Linked DNA regions of Drosophila melanogaster. The protein of the gene in region 2 purifies or fractionates together with the protein of the main gene of each other region. This does not show direct contact. Each region holds a gene or a part of one and is shown on either strand. Other genes may lie near its edges.

Evidence for each region.
Region 1: the proteins of Nxf3 (region 2) and Nxt1 purify together in Drosophila melanogaster (affinity purification with western blotting; 2 studies listed by BioGRID, with this or other methods). This does not show direct contact.

What each region holds. Positions count from the first base shown.
Region 1 is NT_033778.4:23,810,513-23,813,664, reverse strand, and holds Nxt1 (NTF2-related export protein 1), read left to right. Parts: upstream 1-1,690; 5' UTR 1,691-1,717; coding exon 1,718-1,726; intron 1,727-1,783; coding exon 1,784-1,870; intron 1,871-1,927; coding exon of another isoform or gene 1,928-1,940; coding exon 1,941-2,246; 3' UTR 2,247-2,338; downstream 2,339-3,152. Other genes in the region: pippin, read left to right, coding at 160-1,239; CG5543 (uncharacterized protein), read right to left, coding at 2,339-3,152.
Region 2 is NT_037436.4:13,963,361-13,970,578, reverse strand, and holds the start of Nxf3 (nuclear export factor 3), read right to left. Parts: upstream 5,377-7,218; 5' UTR 5,234-5,376; coding exon of another isoform or gene 5,187-5,233; intron 5,056-5,186; coding exon of another isoform or gene 4,949-5,055; 5' UTR 3,932-4,948; coding exon 2,084-3,931; 3' UTR 1,933-2,083; coding exon of another isoform or gene 1,877-1,932; intron 1,819-1,876; coding exon of another isoform or gene 1-1,818. Other genes in the region: ssp2 (short spindle 2), read right to left, coding at 1-1,818, 1,877-1,932, 4,949-5,055, 5,187-5,233; Meics (meiotic central spindle), read left to right, coding at 5,950-6,460, 6,566-7,218.

The DNA.
Region 1 (3,152 bases), on a different chromosome or scaffold from region 2:
GCTGGGTTCAAGGTGGTCATGTATCAGAAAGTAATAGTAATAGTATCATTTATATAATTGATGGTCAACGTGGATAAGCTGGATTAGGATTAATGTAGACTTACTATATAAACTTACTATTTTGGCCTTCATTCATTATTTTATTTTACCTTCTCGAAGGTGTACATTGCGGAAACGGCGGAACCCAATCTGCGGAGTCTGCTGATCGGCGCGCCCTATGTGGCCTACTCAAGCGGCATCCTAATGGTCTACTCCCTGGGCTCCATGATGTACTGGCGTAGTGTTGCGTGGTGCGCCAACGTGCTGCCCCTGCTGTCCATGGTGTCTATCTCGTTTATACCGGAGACTCCGGCCTGGCTACTCCGCAATGGCCACGAGAAGCGTGCGCTGCAGGCCCTCTCGTTCCTGCGGGGCAGCGAGATCAGTGCGCAGAAGGAGCTGAATGATATGAAGCAGAGGCTGGCCAAGGAGCGGGTGACCACCAAGACGAACGAGAACATCTTCCAGCTGTGCTGCCAGCGCGTGGCCATCAAGCCGCTGGTCATTGTGATCGTGTTCTCGCTGCTGCAGATGTTCTCCGGCACGTTCATCGTGATCTTCTATGCCGTGGACATGATCTCGGAGTTCGGAGCGGAGTTCGACTCCAAGCAGGCGGCCATTGCGACGGCAGTTGTCCGGGTGATCTGCTGCATGGTCTTCTGCGTAGTCCTGATCTTCGTTCGCCGCCGCAGGATCATGATAGTGTCGGGAATCGGCTCCGGCTTGTTCTGCCTGGTGCTCAGTGTCTATCAGTATGCCAGATTCGATCAACCGAAAATGTCGTACGACGTATTCGTTGGTGCCGGCTGTCTCTTGGGCTACATCATCTTCAACACGGCTCTGATGGTGATGCCCGGCATTATGATCGGCGAGCTCTTCCCGGCTAGGATACGCGGACGGACTGCCGGCGGAGTGTTTGCCTCCATGAACGTCGCTCTGTTCATCTTCGCGAAGAAGTTTCCCGCTTTGCAGGCCATGCTCAAGATGCGCGGCGTGTTCCTGGTCTTCGGCGTGTCCAGTTTCCTGCTCACTGCCTTTATGTGCCTTTTCCAGCCGGAGACGAAGGGCCGCAGCCTGGAGCACATCGAGGACTATTTCAACGGGGACAACTGGCTCTGGTTCCGGCGGGATCGAGGCTACAAGACGGTCAACCTGCAGCCCCTGGAGCCATTGAAGGACACCCGGGGGCTGGAGGCCTAGGTCGGGGGGCTTTAGTCTTAAAACAGGTCTTAGCTTAGCTAGTTTTAGCCATACTCATAGTTCTAGCCGCAGTGCCTCGTAGTCGCCCTAGACTCGCTCGATTTTCCAGTGACCCCCAATGGGCCACTCCGACAGGGAATCTTCAAATGTTAGGTTACCAATTCAAATTGTGATCGCTATGCTTTAAATTGTGTCTAATTGTTAATTAAAATTATGATTAGAAATAAACAACTTGAAAAATAAAAGTCATCATTTGTTTTTCGGGCAATTTGCAGAAAATGTTTGCAATAAACTTGTTTTTAAGTGTTTGAACATCTTGACTTTTTTAAACTTTAAATAAATATTAAGGGTACTCACGTAGATTAGTAGCGTTTTTGTATTTCAAATGGTGGTAGTAATATTTTTGTTTCTTTCTTTCTGGAGAGTTTTTTTCTGACCACCCGAGGACGGTCACTCTAATTCGAGAATCGCGGGAAACATGGACAGCGTGAGTTGAAAATATTTAGTTTTTTAGCAATTTAGCATAGCAACTATTTGTTTAAAGGATTTGAAAGCCAAGGTCGAGAGCTGCGCCCGTACGGCGGATACCTTCACACGCCTGTACTACGCCTCCGTGGACAACCGACGCCAAGTAAGTAGAGATCCGCCTTGAAAGTCTGCATTTCATGGGAAAACGAAACTCAAATAGATTCCACCTGCAGCAAATTGGACGCCTCTATTTGGACAATGCTACGCTTAGCTGGAATGGAAACGGGGCCATCGGCCGCCAGATGATCGAGAGCTACTTTCAGGAGCTGCCATCCTCAAACCACCAGTTGAACACCCTGGACGCGCAGCCTATTGTGGATCAGGCTGTGTCCAACCAGCTGGCCTACCTCATCATGGCCAGCGGCTCCGTCAAGTTCGCAGATCAGCAGTTACGCAAATTTCAGCAGACTTTCATCGTTACCGCCGAGAATGATAAATGGAAGGTCGTCTCCGATTGCTACCGAATGCAGGAGGTCTGAGATCCACACACTTGTATTTTAAGCTAAGCTAAAGTTCTTACGTCGTAACGAGTTTATTAACATATCTAAGCTCTTATAAATAGATTGACTTCCTATTTGTCCGCCTCTGTCTTGGGCTTCTTGGTGGCCGGCTCGTCGGCGGGTAGTTTTTCGGAGAAGATGGCCTTTGGCTGCGTCTGCTTGTAGGCCGGTGCTATCCAGTAAGGATTCTCGGCTGCGTCCTTGGCATACTTCAAGATGGCTTCCCTGGGATCCTGGTCGTCGTCCACCCGCTTGCTCAGGCCCAGATTGCGGATGACATAGGAGGAGAGGGTGCCGCCGGAGCTGGCCACGCGGCCGCCCTGACCGCTGGTGATGGGCAAGTCCGGTCGCTGGGACTTGACAGGATCCATACGGGCCTTCTCCATCCGCTTACGCGAGGTACGGGACTTTTCCTGCCTGAACAATGGCAGGGCGTGCGGCGTAATGATCTGGGAGACTCCCACCATCTCCATGGGCTGCCTCTTGCGATGCGTCTTCACTACGCACAGCTTGGCGCCCCGGATGCTGCGGTGCTCATCGTAATAGCACTTAATGGTTCCATTGCCACAGCTCACGAACAGTTGGTTGAGCTTTGGGTGCCACAGCGTTTTCACCACGTGCGCGTTGGACACGGGAATCCGCTGCACTTCCTCGTAGCTCTTAGTGCTGTAGAAATACAGGTTCGCTTCGGCCTGGCCCTTCGGAAGCGATTCTCCGGTGACTAGCAGACGGTCATCTGGACTAAAGCAGCAATCTGTTGTGTCGTAGCGGGAGAACAGGTTTGTCCAGGTATGCAGCGGCTGTTTGAACTGCCGCAGATCCCAAAGCTTCATGGTCTCGTCGTTGCTGCGAGTGGCCAACTGCTGACCCATGTACGAGAACACA
Region 2 (7,218 bases):
CTCCTCGTACCGAACATCTTCTACTAATTGCTTTTGCTCGTCCTCGAGTTGCTGTGGTTCATCGTCTATACAAGGCACAATAATTTCCGGCTGCAGTCGCATTTCTTTCGAAATCTTAATGGTCTTGAAGCGATCGCGATCCCGCTCTCTTCGCTCCGGCAGCTTATAGCTTGCCGGATCAATCTCTGCTGTCACCTGGGACTTTGGAGGCTCTTCCGCTGGTTCGGGATCAGGATCTGGTGCAGGCTGCTCCACTTGTGGCATATCTCTACGCTGGACGATGAATGAGGCAGAGTTGGTGCTGGTCGAACTTCCATTACTGCCGTGCATTGCACTAAGGTTGACATCGTCGTAGAGACGACTTCGGCGACTGAGCAGCCGTTCGCCACCACCGCCGCTGCTGTTGCTGCTGGAGTGGCTCTGATTTAGAACTGGGGTGTCCACCTTTTCGGCTGCCGACTGCTGCAATTCCTCTTCACGCTCCTCTGCCTCCGCCTCATCTCTATGGAAGCGCCGTTTGATGGTATCTAGCGACTTTTGCATCTTCAGTTGCTCCTCGTTTAGGGTATTCACCTTGCCCAGCTCGGCAAGCATATTCTCGAATTGCTCTTCGTCGCCCTGCTGGGCCAGCATCTCCACTTCCGCCTCAGCCAAGTCCATGACGCATTGCATCTGCCTGTGCTGTTCAGACATTTGCAGGTTGTAAGTGCCATCCAGCGGCTGTTCGATCTGCTCCAAGAGCTCCATAGTGTCCAGCACGAACTTCTCGCCGTTGAACGGAGCTGTTTTTGCCACGGGCTCAAAGGTGTTGTTTAATCGCCCTGGTGCGGTTCCAGTTGGTTTTTGCGGTGTTGCGCCAACAATTGGGGACAGGTTCATATCTCCCCTTCCCTTTAGGGTAGGGGTATATCCTGCCTTGTTATTATTGTTGTTATTGTGGTAGCAGTGTGAGCGCATGTTTGTTGTAAGTGGTGTGGAGGATTCCATGGTGAGCAAGGCCAGCTTCCTGTCAATATTTTCAGGCGTTTCACAGCGGCCCTCAGGAGTGTTGCAACCGTCGGTGAAGGTAGTATTCATCTGCCTACCTGTTAGCACCTGGGTTTCGTCCGCTGTAGTAGCACTCGCAGTGGGTCTTTTGAATGTCGCATTTCCATCGACTGGCAGAGACTCAGACTCTGATTGCAGCGCAGAAGTTGTAAGGCTATCCACGAGGTTAAAAGTTGTGTCGCCGATCATCTCCTCCCCTAAAATCATGGTACGCTGTAGGGCAGGACAAACTGCCGATACCACAACGGGCATCGTTCGATCTGCGGCCAGGGGAATGGACATACTGTCTGTGCTGTTGTCCATTGTGCTGCAGCCGGAAGCAGTTTTGCTCAGTGTCAACGATATTTCGTCAATTTGCCCGATGTGCGAGTCTTTGATAAGAGTCCCATCGTCCTCACACATGGTCAGCGACTCCAGCGCCTTGCGATCCCGGATCATGTCACTGAGCGTATATCCGCCTATGCTGCCGCCGATTCCCATGTTATCAGTTGTCTGGTTGGTAAGCGTAGTGGTAAGGTTTGGATCCTGCTCAAGACCAATTGTGGATTGAAGGAAGTTCAAGTTCGTAAAGTCTGCTGAGGTGATTAGCGAGTTGTTCATCCGTTCAGTGTTCATGGAGGAGCAGATGGAAGACGGCGGTGAGGTGTCTTGCAGGAAGGATTTGTGCATATTCGTCGTGACAAGACCGCCAATTTCCAGCTGAAGCATTGCTGGGGCACCCGCGACCGACCCGGTTCCAACACCGCTGTCATTTCCCGCTCCATTTTGGCTCTGAAAAAATAAGATACTTTAATATACAAATTAGTTGCAATTGCTTATTTGTACTTACGAAATCCAGATTCCGACGCTTTGGGCGAGTAAAGGTTTTCGAATTGTTTTTGAAGGCTTTCGTAAAATATAAAAGTTTAAAAATAAATTAGATCCTTGAGTTCTGCACTCGTTAAAGTAATGAATAGTAATGTATGGTGTCTTAACCGATAGGTGCAAGGTTTCTAAAAGCTATTTGTTTGAATTGTTTAATTTTTTTTGTTCATATTTAAAGGTCATCGCATCCAAACAGGATGTCATCATCAATGTCCAAGTCAAAGTTATTCTCATCGGCCACTAAAATATCCTCCATTTCATAGTCCAAACAATTTTGCCCGGTAGTCAATGGACCAATGGCTACTAATGGTGGCATATCGTTGAAGTTCTCACTGGGAAGATGGTCCACCTGGGAAAGGCTCATTTTCTGCACTGCCTTATTAAGAGGATTCAGCTCTTTTCCTGATAGGGGTCTAGAAATTTGGACATCCTCTTTAGACTTTCTGTCTAAAACTGTCACTGCAGGTTTATTTATTTTTTCTACCGACGGGTCGGTATTTATCATATTAGTTTCTGGTTTAAATTTAATGGTTTTTTTCGGGTCCGGCATAGTCGAAGTTATGCACAGCATGTCGTTGGTTATCAACCAGCCGGGGCTATTGGAAGTCTGCAATACGAATGTGCGCTGAAAGCGTCGTGGTTCCAGAGTATCCGATGATATCTCCTTAAAGTATCCCGTCAACGTAAAGATGCGTAGACTCGAAGTGAACACCTGGATGTCTAGCCCGACATTCTCTAAGTCTGTATGCATCAAAGGCAAGCGGCTTAAAGCGAGAAGTAGCGCAGCTCTACCCACTTGCAGCTTGGCGTTTTGTGCAAACGAGGAATGCTGGCGCTTCTGGTTTCTGTTGTACAGCTTGTAGCCGTAGACATAATTTAGTTGTACCGGCACGCTAAGCGAGAACATGGCTTGGTCGTCGTAATACTTCTTAAGTTTGAAACGCTCTTCGGTATCGTCAAAGAAAGTGTAGTATGAACTTATGAAGTCCTGGCAAAACTTTAAACCATTAGTCCCACCGCCTTGAAGTTGTTGAGACTTCGGAATATTATCAACAGCTTCTGTACTTTCCCCCAACTGCACACAGCCATGAACATTTTTCAACTGTGGTAGCATTTTTCGAATGACGTCCACGCTTAGCTTGGCCAAACCGTTTCCTGCCAAGAAGATCGTCTTGCAACTCAGTTTGTTGATGTAATTGAGTTCTCCCAAATCTTGAATCCTGTTTGCGCTTATGTCCAACCGCTCTAGGCTGGCAAAACTTTGGGAATTTCCCGCAAACGCTTTCAGGGAACACAAATAATTGTTGCTCAGTACTAGGCTGGTCACATGGGGAAATAAATGGTTTGAAAGAACTAGCACTGTTTCTAGCAGCTTGACCATATGCAGCGGACAAAAGTGCAGAGACAACTCCGGACTGGCGTGGAACCTGGAGAGATCTAAGGTGCGTGAATCCACCTCATAGCGTGATCTAAGGGCCTCCTGAATGGCAGTTGTAAATTCGTCTGTTATCTGGGCACACATCATCGATTTGGGCAGACCGGGTGTGACACGCACCTCGATTTTCTGGCACGTGTTAATAACTGCTACTTCCTCTTGCAAGCGTTTTAGGCGATTTGCGCTTAACAGGTTGTCCAACAGAAATTGTCCACGTGCCATATTATCTTCCGGTCCACTTCGCTTGAAGTTGAATATCTCCACCTTAATGGGCATCATCACCCACTTCAGTGCCACAAAAATTGAAGAATTGGAAACGCCGGCGCAGTTGGCGATGTTCACCGTGGACCATCCGGTCACAGTGGCCACGCGGTGGTCCTCTTCGGTGGAAGAGATCGTGTCCAGCACGGATCCCATTTGTTGCTCATTTCCAATCAGCTCTTGTACATATTCTCGAATTTTACTTTTTTCATTTAGATTTTTTCGCAAATCGTCAAGTGGCGACTGCGAATTCACGTGCTTTTTGAAGTTTTGGATCAAGCGGCTGTCCGGCTCGTGGGATTTGAAAGTGGCAAATATTTGCATCGCAAAGTTTTCAGGAAACTAGTAAAATTACAAAATCTTTTGAGGAAATAAACCCAGTAATTAAATTCCGTGCACACTACTAGCAATCTCCGGGAGTTTACAATTTTTTTAGTGTTAGTAAAGATCCAAAGGACGCTTCGCAAAAGCGATGTGTTCAGCACACTATTTGATATTTTACCGTTAAGTTAGCATTTAGCTATTTTTTAACTTACTGGATAAACGCCCTGAAGCTTTCATATATAATTATAAGTAATTGTTGTTTGTTAACGTAATTTTCTTACTTCCACTTCTACTATTGTTATCGCTTAAAAGAATATTTTGTATATATTATTTAAGCTATTTAAAATATTTATCTATGCTGAGTTTAACCATTGCATACATTTACAGGAATGACTATTAAGTATGAACTTTGTTGTAAATAGTTTTATTTAACTTATATTTTTAGCAATATTTGGAATTCTGGCATTCCACTTTGGAAAATCATTAAAAATAGCTCAGCATGACAATATTTCACTCAAATTAAATCGCCTAATCGATTTTTGATCCTCGTCTTTAGTTCGGTGGTAATTGTTTATTTAATTGTACGCAAATAGTTTATTTGCGTATTGCTTGATTGACTTTCGCTGGCTGGGCAGGAAGTAAATTGGATTTATATAATAATGTTTGCGTATAATGCGAGATTCTTGCCATATTAGCATAGCCAGTTTTTTTCCTTCAATATTATTGCCGTACCACGCACAGCTGTTTGCAATGGGAACGCGTGTGTGTGTGTGCGTATTGAGACTTGATTAATTACCGTAACAATAACATTGGCGCTGTTGCCAATTATGGCAATCGGCCACTTTGAAAGACAACGGTAACTACTGGCCAAGTAATGCTGCCCACATGCGACTTGAACTTTGTCAACGTAGCCGCCAGTTTAACCCAAATTTGATTTAGAAAGCGCAACTGCATGATGTGCTGCACATGTGTGTATGTTTGTGATCGGGTGCATCGGTATGTGTGGAAAAGGCTTACCCTCGTTGTTGTACTGCAAGTGCAATTGCTGCAACGGCGGCTGATTGTTCGTCTTCCACTGCTGCAATATGTTGGAGACATCGTCGTGGGTCTTATCCGCCAGAAATCTGCCAAGGAGTACCAGGCATATGAGTATTTATAGCATCGATGCCTCTGCCTGTGAAGTGCCAGCAGCAGTAGCAGCAGCTGCAGCAGCAACAACAACAGGAACAAAAACAACAGGAGTGGTTTCACTCACATATATGAATCATCCTTTAGTGCCTCATCGATGTCCAGGATATCCATGTCCAGCGATGGGTAAAACTTTATGCCTAGCTTAATAACACTTGATGAAGACCTAAATCATTGCCAGAAACGACAACAAAAAGGCCTTCGCTCGCTTGTCTGTTTGGCCAATACAAGATACTAATTTTGCTCAAAGCTGATAGAGATGAGCGATATCCGCGATTCCGTGGCGAGTCACTGGTATTTTTAAGCCGATGAGTCAATCTTGTGACTGTGAAAGCGAAAGTGAAAGTAATTATTGCAGCTGTTGGCAAAGTTAGCAAATTTCAACTTAAATATGAAGATAAATATTAAAATGATAACCTTTAATACCTAAATCATTGCATGCACGCTTGTTAAAGATTATATGTTAATTAAACGTTTTTATAATACAGACTGATTTGTAACTTTACTTGATTTGTAAATTATTTATTAAAATTAAAATTATCTCTAATATTCTTATTTTCATTGTTAATGCCTTTAATATAGATTTACATACATTTTGATTTAAATATGATTGGAATCCTACCTATCGACACCATTGTTTTGAATGCCGCAGATTTGTTCCCAGTCACAGTTAACCTCACGACGTTAATGGAGATGGCATATGAAACCTTATCGACTATCGAGTAATCATCGGATGCAGCTGACAACTCTGTGCGAATACGTTCACATTGACTACTTGGCAGGAGAGCAAGTGCCCAACATTTGTTGATTCTTTTGAAATTCCGGCCTCTATGGTTGGGAGATCATCGGGAAAAATGGAAAGATCAGTGGACGCCAGCATGGGAAAGAACTGCCGAGCCTGCGCCGAACACTCATCCATACTGGTGGACCTTTTCTCCAAGGAGATCTCTGATCCCCCCATTTGGGAAATGTTGAACTCAATTCTGCCGGAGATCTGTCGCGTGAAACGGGATGAAATGCCACAAAAGATCTGTCCTACCTGCCTGGTGGCCGCTCAAAATGCCTTTCACTTCCGTCACAAGTGTGAGCAGAGTTTTCAGTTCTTTTCCCAGCTCCTCCAGCTCGATAAATCAAACTCAAATCTGAGTAGATCCCATTGCAGAAGAGGTACTATGAACCCATTAATACCCTTCGAGATAGTTGGTTGCGAGGATCCATTGGACACAAATGTAACCAAATTGGACGCTAATCGGCCTGATGTAAAAACTGATATCGATGAGCCAACCGATGGAAAGGCAACTAATGGTCAGGAGAGTGAACCATTGCAAGAAGTTTTTGAAAGTAGGTCTATTCGATGTCATCCACTTTCACAAGAACTTCCATTGTACTGCTAAAATCTATTCTAGACTTGCCCGTTATATGCTAAAATTTAAATTTATTTTTTAGTAACAATGAACGATATTAAAACGGAAGATGAAGTATCCATTCAGGAGACATTTGAAGATGCCTTTGATGAAGAAAATGATAATAACAATACTGATAGCGAAAGGGAGGATTCAGACCAATGGACAGTGGGCTCGACTGAAGACCAAGATGAACCCTGGATTCCCGGCGGCGGAGGGCGCCAAACGGTTGGCGGCAATAATCAATCGCTTCTGTGCACAGAGTGTGGAGTGAGTTACTCGACTCAAAAGGCGTTGGCAAGGCACGTTGCCAAGCACAAGGAGCAAGGTGATACACAAAAGCCGCACCTCTGCGATTTCTGCGGTCGGGGATTTCGTACCAATGCCCAGCTAACGACCCATAGACGCCGTCATACTGGAGAGCGTCCTTTTAAATGCCCCCTCTGCCCGAAAGCTTATACGCACGGTCCGACTCTGAAGTCGCATATGCACACCCACGACGAGGAAAAGGGTCACAAATGTCCACAGTGCGACAAAACCTTTTACACGAGAGGCAATCTTAGGGCCCATATACAGAGGCACACTGGCGAACGACCCTATAAGTGTCCCGACTGCCCACAAACCTTTGCCAAAAACTCTGGCCTTAAGTTGCATAGCCGTCTGCACAAGGAAGAGCGACCCTTTAAATGTGAGCTC